Cricetulus griseus: one gene and its partners. The protein of the gene in region 1 purifies or fractionates together with the protein of each later gene. This does not show direct contact. Links are inferred from orthologs where the notes say so. Each region holds a gene or a part of one and is shown in the gene's direction. Other genes may lie near its edges. The genes, in order: Rpl3, Ncl and Mettl18.

Evidence for each region.
Region 2: the proteins of Rpl3 (region 1) and Ncl purify together in Homo sapiens (affinity purification with mass spectrometry; 4 studies listed by BioGRID, with this or other methods). This does not show direct contact. The link is inferred for Cricetulus griseus from reciprocal best matches to the Homo sapiens genes RPL3 and NCL.
Region 3: the proteins of Rpl3 (region 1) and Mettl18 purify together in Homo sapiens (affinity purification with mass spectrometry; 3 studies listed by BioGRID and IntAct, with this or other methods). This does not show direct contact. The link is inferred for Cricetulus griseus from reciprocal best matches to the Homo sapiens genes RPL3 and METTL18.

Annotation. Positions count from the first base shown.
Region 1 is NC_048595.1:377,236,422-377,240,170, reverse strand, and holds the start of Rpl3 (60S ribosomal protein L3), read left to right. Parts: upstream 1-1,024; 5' UTR 1,025-1,157; coding exon 1,158-1,160; intron 1,161-1,564; exon of another isoform or gene 1,565-1,628; intron 1,629-1,896; coding exon 1,897-2,089; intron 2,090-2,773; coding exon 2,774-2,942; intron 2,943-3,549; exon of another isoform or gene 3,550-3,604; coding exon 3,605-3,740; intron 3,741-3,749.
Region 2 is NC_048595.1:438,023,622-438,027,270, reverse strand, and holds part of Ncl (nucleolin), read left to right. Parts: coding exon 1-446; intron 447-681; coding exon 682-870; intron 871-956; coding exon 957-1,043; intron 1,044-1,090; exon of another isoform or gene 1,091-1,160; intron 1,161-1,232; coding exon 1,233-1,374; intron 1,375-1,860; coding exon 1,861-1,985; intron 1,986-3,207; coding exon 3,208-3,331; intron 3,332-3,649. UniProt on the Homo sapiens protein: Nucleolin is the major nucleolar protein of growing eukaryotic cells. It is found associated with intranucleolar chromatin and pre-ribosomal particles. It induces chromatin decondensation by binding to histone H1.
Region 3 is NC_048598.1:28,341,755-28,345,503, reverse strand, and holds Mettl18 (histidine protein methyltransferase 1 homolog), read left to right. Parts: upstream 1-1,245; 5' UTR 1,246-1,383; exon of another isoform or gene 1,384-1,471; intron 1,472-2,139; 5' UTR 2,140-2,337; coding exon 2,338-3,453; 3' UTR 3,454-3,503; downstream 3,504-3,749. Other genes in the region: C5H1orf112 (uncharacterized protein C1orf112 homolog), read right to left, coding at 1,078-1,188. UniProt on the Homo sapiens protein: Protein-L-histidine N-tele-methyltransferase that specifically monomethylates RPL3, thereby regulating translation elongation.

The DNA of each region.
Region 1 (3,749 bases):
ATGTGCTAAAAATTTAAGGATATTCTGTACTTGGTGTCCCTCCCACTTTTAGAAATTCTTTTACTTTCCTTTAATAAAACTATGTTTGTGTTCCTAAAAAATACATATATTATATATATATATATATATAATATATATTTTTTATCTGGAGAGATGGTTCAGTAATTAAGAAAACTTGTTGCTATCCCAGGGGGGACGGGGTTTGGTTTACAACACTCACAATTGTCTGTAACTCAGTTTCAGGGGATCTGACACCCTTTTGTGATCTCAGCAGATGCCGGGCACACACATAGTGCACATACATACATCCTGGCAAAATACTGATACATACACATAACATGAGTAAATCTAAAAATTAAGAACAAAATATGGGGGCTGGAGAGACGGCTCAGCTTTTAAGGACACTGGCTGCTCTTCCAGAGGACCCGAGGTTCAAGTCCAGTACCCACATGCGGCGCACAACTGTCTCTAACTCCAGTTCCAGGGATCCGACAGTCAGACATGCAGGCAAAACACTAATGCACCTTAAAAAAAGAAAAGAAAAAAAAAAAAAAAGAAGGCAATGTGAACGGGACATGACATCTAGGTACTGGAATGGCAGAGAGCGGACTTGACGTAGGTGTGCCCGAAATCATAGCGAATTAAAGGCAAGTCGTTGTTGCATTAAAATCACTGGCTAGGCAGAGAGCAAACGAGTTTCATACAGTCTTTACAACGTAAAAGCTCGCTAGAGCAGCACATCAGTTCCATCTAACTAAGCCTGCTTCAAGGACGTTCGTTTCGATACTGGATAGTACTGAGAGGGTTAGCACGCCGTGACACAATTCTAGAGGTGACAGCGTAGCTTACGGACAGAAACAATGCGGCCATTTTTCTTCATTATCATCAAGTTTGGCTGCTGCAGAATGCCGTAGACGCATTACATTCGAAACTGCAGCATCTCTGAGGCTTTGTGCCACGTTTGAACCCAACCACTTGCCGTAGGACGTTATTTGCCAATCTGGAGTGGGCGGGACAGGGACGTTCGCTGCGCGTCCTTCGACCCGACGTCCTCTGCGGCAGCACGCTCAGACGCTCAGTGGGCGGAGTCACTAGGTGGCTTTATATAGGCTGCTCGGCCGCCTGGCCGGCCTCTATCGGCGGCGTGTGACGGCAAGATGGTACGTGTAGCAGTCCGGGCTGGGGTCTTGCTTTTTGGGTTAGCCTGGATACGTCTGCGGCCCATCGACACTGGGAAGCTGCTCTAGCAGCACAGAGAACTTCGCTCGGGCCGCCACGGCGCTTAGATCTCTATAGAAAGCGTGTGCGGGGCACAGGCCTGGGCCTGTACGAGAGGCCTAGGGTTCGGCACAAGCCTGACGGCCGCTCGTGTTATAAAACTGGTTATTTTTGGGGTTTGGACACGAATTTTACCTTGATTGACCATGTGGCAAGCATGATGGAAGGCGGCCGTAGGCATTGATTGCACTGGCTGAAACGGGAGTCATTGTGGGAAGCCTCACGAGCTTCCATTTTGGAATGTGGTTCCGCGAAAGGAAAGTGCGCCTCCCGAGTTCCCAGAAGCCACAAATGATGAACCTTCTGACGGGCGGACAGAAACTCTGTGCTGATTGTCATGTTCTGATTTGGCATTGGGAATTCTAGAGGCTTAGCTGTAAAAGGCTGGCTCTCGAAGCTCTGTGGCCCATTTTAGCAGTGAATCATAAGGGTGTTTAGCAGAGCTTAGCTGTTTACTGTCGATGGTGAAAGACATGGCAAATGTTTGCAAAGACCCTATACAGGATTGCCATTTCACGAGACAATGTAAAGTGACATGCTCTCGTGGGCTGGTTAAGTAATAGGAAGGGTTGCTGAGGTTGAGATATACTTAGTAATGTTGGTGATTTTCTTTCCTAGTCTCACCGGAAATTCTCTGCCCCGAGGCATGGGTCATTGGGCTTCTTGCCTCGGAAGCGCAGCAGCCGGCATCGTGGGAAGGTGAAGAGCTTCCCCAAGGACGATCCTTCCAAGCCTGTTCATCTCACAGCCTTTCTAGGCTACAAGGCTGGCATGACCCACATCGTCCGGGAAGTTGACAGGCCAGGATCCAGTATGTAACTTACCTTGTCGAACTGGGGACTGGGTATAACTTCAGGAATGATCGGTACCTGGAGTAAATTTGGAAAGTCATTGTGGGACAATTCCATTTTGGTTAATTAAATTTGAAACAACCTGACCTGAGGTAACAGTGCCTACTAAGAGACTAAGAACAGTTCTCAGTCGTGTATTTCAGTAGACAGATAAGGTAGGCCTGCCTGCGCAAAATCATACGGGGATGTAGTTGGTCTTTGGAATCCACATGCGGTGAGGATAAAAACCTAGTCCTCAGGGCAGCCAGTGCCTCCCTCCTGAGCTTTAAGGATTGTTCCCCAAGTTAGCAGTTTCATGTCTGGGAGTGACTCATGGAGAGATTAGAAACCATGGGAGTGATAGCTTTTCTTACAGTATGAGGTGAAGTGTGGCATTTTGTCAATACTTGCTGAATGCTGGGATTTTAGGTGATAGTTATTACTTGGCTTCGTGTCTGTTTCTTCACGAACAGCAAGCATGCCTTGTGTGGGCTAGGTATTGTGGCACACGTAGAACCTTAGGGCTCATCAGCTAAAGCCACCTGTTGTGGCCCTGGAGATGGGAAGAGTAGAGGGGGCCAAATCTGAAGAGGCAGATGGCCTTTTGTTGTCGGCATTTCAATATTGGTAGTCATCTACCCACTGATGCCTGTTTGCCTTCACAGAGGTGAACAAGAAAGAAGTTGTGGAGGCTGTAACCATTGTGGAAACACCACCCATGGTAGTTGTGGGCATTGTGGGATATGTTGAAACCCCACGAGGTCTCCGCACCTTCAAGACAGTATTTGCTGAGCACATCAGTGACGAGTGTAAGAGGCGTTTCTACAAGAACTGGTAAGGAGAGTGAGAACCCAGGAAAATCCTGGCCTGAGCTAGAATTTAGTGAACACGATACAATGTTTATGGGCTTTTTATAACCCCCCTTTAATGCAGGGTTTCTTTGGGGGTGTTGAGAAAGGGTGGCTTTCGTGGCTGTCCTGGGACTAGCTCTTGTAGACCAGGCTTGTCTCACTCAGATCTGCCTACCTCTGTCTCCAGAGTGCTGGGATTAAAGGCGTGGGCCACTACAAGCCTAGCTTGTGCTGGGTTCCTTGGTGGATTTTTTTCTGAAATCTGAACTGAAAGATGGCAAATACAGCTAGGAAATAGACGTTTGCCTTTTCCTTGTGTGGTTTGGAGGCTTGACTGTAGTAGGTAGGTCCTTTTAACCTTTACTGTGAGAAGGTCCCCAAGTTAGAGAAAGGAGATTCTGTGCCCTGGAGCAAGAATTGTGTGTTTTCTATGTGGCTTATATTAACCTGTGGACCTCTACTCAGCTCCGCTCGGCTCTGCCCGATGAGCTCCATCCAGGCTCCGCTTGCTGGTGGAAAAGGCTCCTTAGAAGCCGGCAATGAGCCCCATGCCCACATGGTGCCAGTGTTCCTTCCTCTCACCCTGTGCAAGGGTGATGAAGGCCTGCACCGGGCCCCTCCCCCAACTCTGCTCTGCTCCTGAAGGCACAAATCTAAGAAGAAGGCCTTCACCAAATACTGTAAGAAATGGCAGGATGACATGGGCAAGAAACAGCTGGAGAAGGACTTCAACAGCATGAAGAAGTACTGCCAAGTCATCCGCATAATTGCTCACACTCAGGTGAGGACA
Region 2 (3,649 bases), about 61 Mb from region 1:
AAAGAAGGTGGTTGTTTCACAAACAAAAAAAGTTGCAGTTCCCACACCAGCTAAGAAAGCTGCTGTTACTCCAGGTAAAAAGGCAGCAGCCACACCAGCCAAGAAGGCAGTTACACCAGCCAAAGCAGTTGCAACACCTGGAAAGAAGGGAGCCACACAAGCAAAAGCATTGGTAGCAACCCCTGGTAAAAAGGGAGCTGTCACTCCAGCCAAGGGGGCTAAGAATGGTAAGAATGCTAAGAAGGAAGACAGTGATGAAGATGACGATGACGACGATGATGAAGACGACAGTGATGAGGATGAAGAGGATGAGGAAGAGGATGAATTTGAGCCACCAGTAGTGAAAGGAAAACAAGCAAAGGTAGCTGCTGCTGCTCCTGCCTCAGAGGATGAAGACGAGGAAGAGGATGAAGAGGAGGAGGAGGAGGATGAAGAGGAGGAGGATGGTAGGTGGATTTCTGTTTGCAGGATGATTAGGAGATCTTGCCAACAATAATGCATGTAGTTTTCCTGACCACTTCGTGCTTAGATTAGAAAGTCACATTTTGTGCTCATAGTTCTTTCCATAACTTAGCATGCTGTCAGAATTTTATTTCTCTAAGACTTTTTTAGTGTGTATAAGATTCATGTTATCTGGATTGGCAGCAAATGCCCTTGCTTACTAAGCCAGCTCTCTTTCAGACTCTGAAGAAGAAGAAGCTATGGAGATCACACCTGCCAAAGGAAAGAAAGCTCCTGCAAAAGTTGTTCCTGTGAAAGCCAAGAATGTGGCTGAGGAGGATGATGATGATGAAGAGGAGGATGAAGATGAGGAGGAGGATGAAGAAGAGGAAGAAGATGAGGAGGAGGAGGAAGAGGAAGAAGAGGAAGGTAAGCAGATTACATTGAGGTACACTGACCTCAGTAATGTTTAATGGAAGTGCTTACCTACTCATGACACTAAAAATCTTATCCAGAGCCTGTTAAACCAGCACCTGGAAAACGGAAGAAGGAAATGACCAAACAGAAAGAAGTTCCTGAAGCAAAGAAACAGAAAGTGGAAGGTAAGCCTGTAAGATTGGGGACTGTGAGAGGAGATAAAGGTAGCAATAGCACAAGTGATGAATGACAAAGGGACTTAATACTGAAACCTGGTGTTGAGATTCAGTGTGCTGATGTGCTTTATAGAAGTTTTATGCTGATGTTTATGTATGGTGAGGTTTTAAATGAACTAAAGTTAATTTTCTGTGCAGGTTCAGAATCAACTACACCTTTCAATCTGTTCATTGGAAACCTTAACCCAAACAAGTCTGTTGCTGAATTAAAAGTTGCCATCAGTGAACTTTTTGCTAAAAATGATCTTGCTGTTGTGGATGTCAGAACTGGTACAAATAGGTAAGTTTTTCATTGAACATTAAATTGAGTTAGCTGGTGCTTCTAAATTCTCCATGCTCTTAAACACAGAGGTATATAATTACTTTAATGAAGACTAGACATTAAAGAACTAAGTCATCAAGTCATGGAACTTGCAAATTTGAAATTTCAATATTTGACTTTTGTGTTATGTCAAATAACAGCAATAATTGGCATTTTTGGATAGGTGGTGGCAGGGCACGATTCAGTCCCAGCACTTAGGCAGAGGCAGGTGAATCTGCATTGGAGGCAAGACTTGGATCTGAATAGTTATAGTGAATGCTTTTGGCCAAAAGGACTCTTAGTATTTAGCTAGGTTCCTCTTTCAGCTAGTACTATCAGTTAACAGTGTAAATTAAATCTGTGTAGATTTGCTATCCTGTCTAGGTACATAGGCTTGATTCTATGGGAGATGAATATGGCCTAGATCGCTCTCATGCCTATAATCTTGTCCTTTTCATCTACAAGGAAATTTGGTTATGTGGACTTTGAGTCAGCTGAAGACCTAGAAAAGGCCTTGGAGCTCACCGGTTTGAAAGTGTTTGGCAATGAAATTAAACTAGAAAAACCAAAAGGAAGAGATAGTAAAAAAGGTACGTAAAGAGACTGGGTGACTTAGAAGGTAGGCTTTGCCCCTTCTCCCTTAGTAAACCAGTGAGATTGACATGAATGGTCCACAGTGAGAAGTCTGACAAGTTCAATTCTAGGGGTGTACTGCTGCCGTCTACTGTCAAAATTGATGATTTTAAAAATCGAGTGTAATCTTTTAACTTTTCGAGGCCAGAGAGTGAACTGTGGCACTGACAGTCCTGAGTCAGGATGGTCTTATTCAGGAAATTGTGGGATTGGCTGGCAAGATGGATACCTTAATGTTTAAAAGTGCTTAATGCAAAAACTTGATGACATGATTTTGATCTATAGAAGTAAGAGAAACTCCAGATTTGTCCTCTGGGGCCACATGTAAAGATTCATTTATTATGTATACACCATTCTGCCTCCACGCCAGCAAGTGTATCATATCTCATTACAGGGTTGTGAGCCACCATGTGGTTGCTGGGAATTGATCTCAGTATCTCTGGAAGAACAGCAGAGCCATGTCTCCAGCACCCCCCCCCCCAAAGGGTTTTTGTATTTTAGAATTGGGGTTTTGAAGTGTTTTCTGTTTAGTGGGGTCCAAAAAATTGAACCTAGACCCTCTTAACACAGTGCTACATATCCTCAATCTCCTTTTCAACATTTGACACAGGGTAGCTCAGCAATTGCAGTTTATGCAGGTCAAGAACTTACTGGGTATAGACCCAGGTTACTGATTGTACAATAATCCATATTTGTGATGACATCTTAGAGATGGAATCAAAATAAACGTGTATCATATATACCTTAGTATACATAACTGTGGGGACGTTTGGGCTTGCATTTTGACAGGCTGATAACAGGCCACATCACATGTTGCCTTCCATTTTTGTTAATGTCATTGCTCAAATTTTTAGACTGAAATTTTTCATTAGCAGTGAGATTAGTAAACAAGGTCCTCTCAAACTATATCGGGCTCCTAATTATTACTTTTTGTGCCATTACTCTTTTCCTTTATTGTCACAAGTTAAATGGGTGGGGTGGGATTTGTTTTTTTTTTTCCTTTCTCTTATATGTTTATGTGTAGACTACATGTTTGTTTGCCAAGTGTGAGTGCTAAGAATTCACCATCTCCATCCCTTATCCCATCATTCTTAGCGTAGAACCTTTCCCTTCTTTATAGGAGCTGTTTGCATTAATTCATGACTTGTTAAATAATGAACTTTGTTTTGTTTAATGTAGTTCGAGCTGCAAGGACACTTTTAGCAAAAAATCTTTCTTTCAACATCACTGAGGATGAATTAAAAGAAGTGTTTGAAGATGCCTTGGAGATCAGATTGGTTAGCCAGGATGGGAAGAGTAAAGGGTATGTTTGTGTCTTAATCATTTAGCTTTATTAATAAAAAGGTGTTTGAGTGGTGACTGAGTATAATCTTCCCCTCTCATACCCTAAACAGGGTCTAAGGTAGTTCGTGTTGTTTGGTTATACTTATGATTTATTGAAGCTAACATGAGGTTACAGAAAGCAAACATATCCACAAGTCATGGAGCCAGGCAGTGGTGGTACACACATTTAATCTCAGGACTCCAGACTAGCAGGTGGAACTGTTCAAGGTCACACTGAACTACATGAGATTGATCCAGTCTGAAAGAGAAGCAGTGGTGATCTCAGCACTTGGGATCA
Region 3 (3,749 bases), on another chromosome or scaffold:
ACACACATCACGTAAATAAATATCTTGGAGTAGGAAAACAGCTGTTTCCAGGAGGAAATTCCAAAAAGACAGTGTTCCAGGCAGGCACACATATAATTCGAGGGCCACAGACACAGGATCACTGCAAACTCAAGACTAGCCTGCTTTAGGTAGCTAGCACTAGGCCAGCCAGGGCTACAGAGCAAGACCTTATCTAAAAATCAAAATAACTCCTTATTTGCACAAGGAGTATAAAAATCGGACACATAGGATTTTGCTAAGGTCTAAGGAATGACTTCAACGTGCTAGAAATACTTAAGTTATACTGATTGTGAAACATCATTCGTGCAGGGTTTGCACTCTAGAGAAAGTGATGGTCTTTTGGTTTTGGAGGGAGGAAGGGAGAGTGGGTGGGTGGGTGGTTGGGTGTGTGTTAACTTCATATAGGAGGTGGAATCAAAGACAGAGAAACTGATGGTCTTTGGTTTTGGGTGGGTGTGTGTGTGTGTGTGTGTGTGTGTGTGTGTGTGTGTGTGTGTGAACTTCATATAGGAGGTGGAATCAAAGACAATACTAAAACCACCTTTTAACACGTAGGGCGTAGGCTTCCAGTTACAAACACAAAGCCTGATGCTAATTATCATCTGCACCTGACGATTAAAGCCAAATCCCGAAGCAAGGCCTTCTAAAAACAAAAACAGGTTCGAAGGGGGAAAGCATTCCTTGTTTACAGAATATCCTTTAAGGACATGATCCCACAGAATAACTACGACTGCATCCTTCAATTCTCACACTTCAGATACCGGGCGCCAGCGCTGGCAGTGACGCTCAGGCCTGGCATCTGGGTCCCGCACTCGGCAGCAGGCGCGGCCCAGGGAAGAACTAAGAGACAGTGGAACCAACAGGCGGGAGAACGCCAGTCATCTTCAAACGTTCCAGTCGCCATCGTCCGACAATGCCAGGCGGGCCCAGGCCCCGCACCCACTGCTGTCCTCGCCCTTCCACCGCCACCCGACAGGGTTCGAGCGCAGCGCCAGGCCGCCCGCGTCAGTGAGGCAGGAGGCTCGCGACCCGCCCCTCAGCGTCCTCCAAGGATATGAGGAGCCGGGGCAGCACCGAAGGCAGCTCCCGGCGGCACACCTCCCGTGACCAGCTGTTGAGTTCATCCAGCATGGCCCGGCTCGCCTCCACCTCGTCGTCCTGAGACATCCTTCCGCCGCCAGCCACGGGCGAGCGAGTACAGCTCCCGCCACAAGTTGGAACGGTAGTCACGCCGTCCCAGCAGGCTTTGAGAGCGCTCCGCCCACACCAAACCATAGAGAGGAGGCCCTTCGTCCCCACGCGTCCAAGTCTTCTCTAGCCACCGGAGGACTCGCCTCGCTGGTGTGCGCTGCGTGCTTGATGGTGAGTTTCGCCGCCGGACTTCTGCCGCTTACTTCTTTCGCCCTGATGTCTGTTGGGTCGTTAGAGTGCTGAGACCAGAAGTCCTCAGGTTTGTTATACCCTCAGTGCCAGGGGTTTTGAGACTCTGCGCGTAGGGTGAGCTGGACCTGTAACCGGGAATGACTCTCAGCACCCCAGTGCAGAAGGTTAGAAAGTAGGGATAATGTTACTAGTGCGAGTTCTTCCCTCTGCACAGCTCCTGCCGATTGAACAAAGATCCTACCTTTTAGAAATTTGCAAGTTAAAACGGGTATTATAAAAGTCTGGCACATTGCCGAAAGGGTTTCCATGCAATTGATTTTGCTTTCGACAATCCTAGCTTGTATTCATTCCTCCAGTCGCATGCCGTTTAGAATTCCGGATGAATTTACAAACATCAGATCACACCTGTACGTGTCTGAAAACGGATGTCCTCCTTACCCAAATAAGACCTTAAACTGTTTTTAGAGGCAGATTAACAGACAGAGATGGAGATTGTCGGGAATTTAGGGGGCACAAGGCAGCTAAAAGACACCGAGTAGCTAGTCTGTCCTGTCTAAAAATCTTGGGCTTTATCTTTTGTTCTGGTAGAGGTGGTTGCTGTTATAGCTGTTATTTTGTTTGTTTTTGTATTTTATCTTCTCCTTATGCATACTTAAGGTATCTGTGAATTTCCCCCCTACACACACTACACAGCTTTTTAAATAACCATCCCCCCCTTCTCTCCCCCACTTCCAGGGCTGAATTCGAAGAGGAACAAAGGCCTCTGGAAAGTGTTTGGAAGCCTCTCTAAAATATATCCAGGGGAGGATAAGCAGCTAAGGGACATCCATCCCAACGGAACTGATTGATAGCGTGACTCAGTTACACCATTAAATCCCATCTAGAAGTTGAAGCATCATCCTTTGATAAAGATTGTGTGTGTATAATACGAGGATGGCCTTTCAATTTAACTTTAGTATAGAAGAAGACCTGGAAAACAAATTAATACCCTGTGGAGATGGGACTTTGACCCTGGATTCATCAAAAGAACCACCAGTCTCAAAAGGTCAAAAAGGAAAGCAGGACAGAAAGAGTTCTGCAGAACTGTCAGACTTGCTTCTGGATGGCTTGAGGGAAGGCTCCTCAATGGGAAAAACAGCTTCCTCTGAAGACACTGACAGCCCACTCAGTGCAGCTGACCGTTCAGGTGACCCAGAAACATGTGAGAAACAGCCCTTCTTGAGAGCTGCTAAAGAACATGCTATGCCCAAAGATTTAAATCAAGTCTTAGCAAATAAGGTTATGGAAATGTTGCCAGGTCCCCAGCATGTTAACGTAGCAGTAGTGAAAACCATCTTGTTGAAAGAGCAATTCCCTGGAGAAAACATAGTTTCAAAAAGTTTTTCTTCTCATTCTGACTTGATTCCAGGTGTTTACGAAGGAGGCTTAAAAATCTGGGAGTGTACCTTTGATCTCTTGACTTATTTCACAAAGGCCCAAGTGAAATTTGCTGGGCAAAAAGTGTTGGATCTTGGCTGTGGATCAGGGTTGCTTGGAATAACTGCAGCCAAAGGAGGAGCCAGAGAAGTTCATTTCCAAGATTATAACAGTTTGGTGATCGATGAAGTGACCTTACCTAATGTGGTTGCTAATTTCCCTTTGAAGGATGAGGGCAATGATGTAAATGAGCCAGATGGGAAAAGACAAAGGAAGTCAAAAGTAGCCCAAGAAGAATGTAAATGTCGGTTTTTCTCTGGGGAGTGGTCTGAGTTTTGTAAATTTGTATTAAATGAAAAACTGTTTGTGAAATATGACCTCATTCTCACCTCAGAAACCATTTATAATCCAGATTATTACAACACTTTGCATGAAACAGTCCTCAGACTGTTGAGTAGGAATGGCCGGGTGCTTCTGGCCAGCAAAGCACATTATTTTGGTGTTGGTGGTGGTGTTCATCTCTTTCAGAAGTTTGTAGAAGAAATGGATGTGTTTGAGACTAAAACACTTGAAATAATTGATGAAGGTCTCAAGAGGTTCCTAATTGAAGTGACTTTTAAGTACCCCAGTTAATATGCACTGGGTGGTGGCCTAATGGAATAAACAGAGTAATTCAGAACTTGTGCTTGTGCCTGTTTAATTTCTTTTTTACTATTATTTTTTTCTGAAATTATAGTATTTGCATAGTTCTGCCTATTGAAATAGTAAGCCAAGTGCAGTAGCAGCCTTGTATTTTCTATGTAAAACGGCAAGTTTCCCTGAGAATTTGATGAACTCTTGAGTTACTTTTTATGAAAGTTCTCCCTCCATCTTCATTCTATTTGATCTTTCTGCAGCCTGACACTCCATAAACATGCTCCCATTCCTAC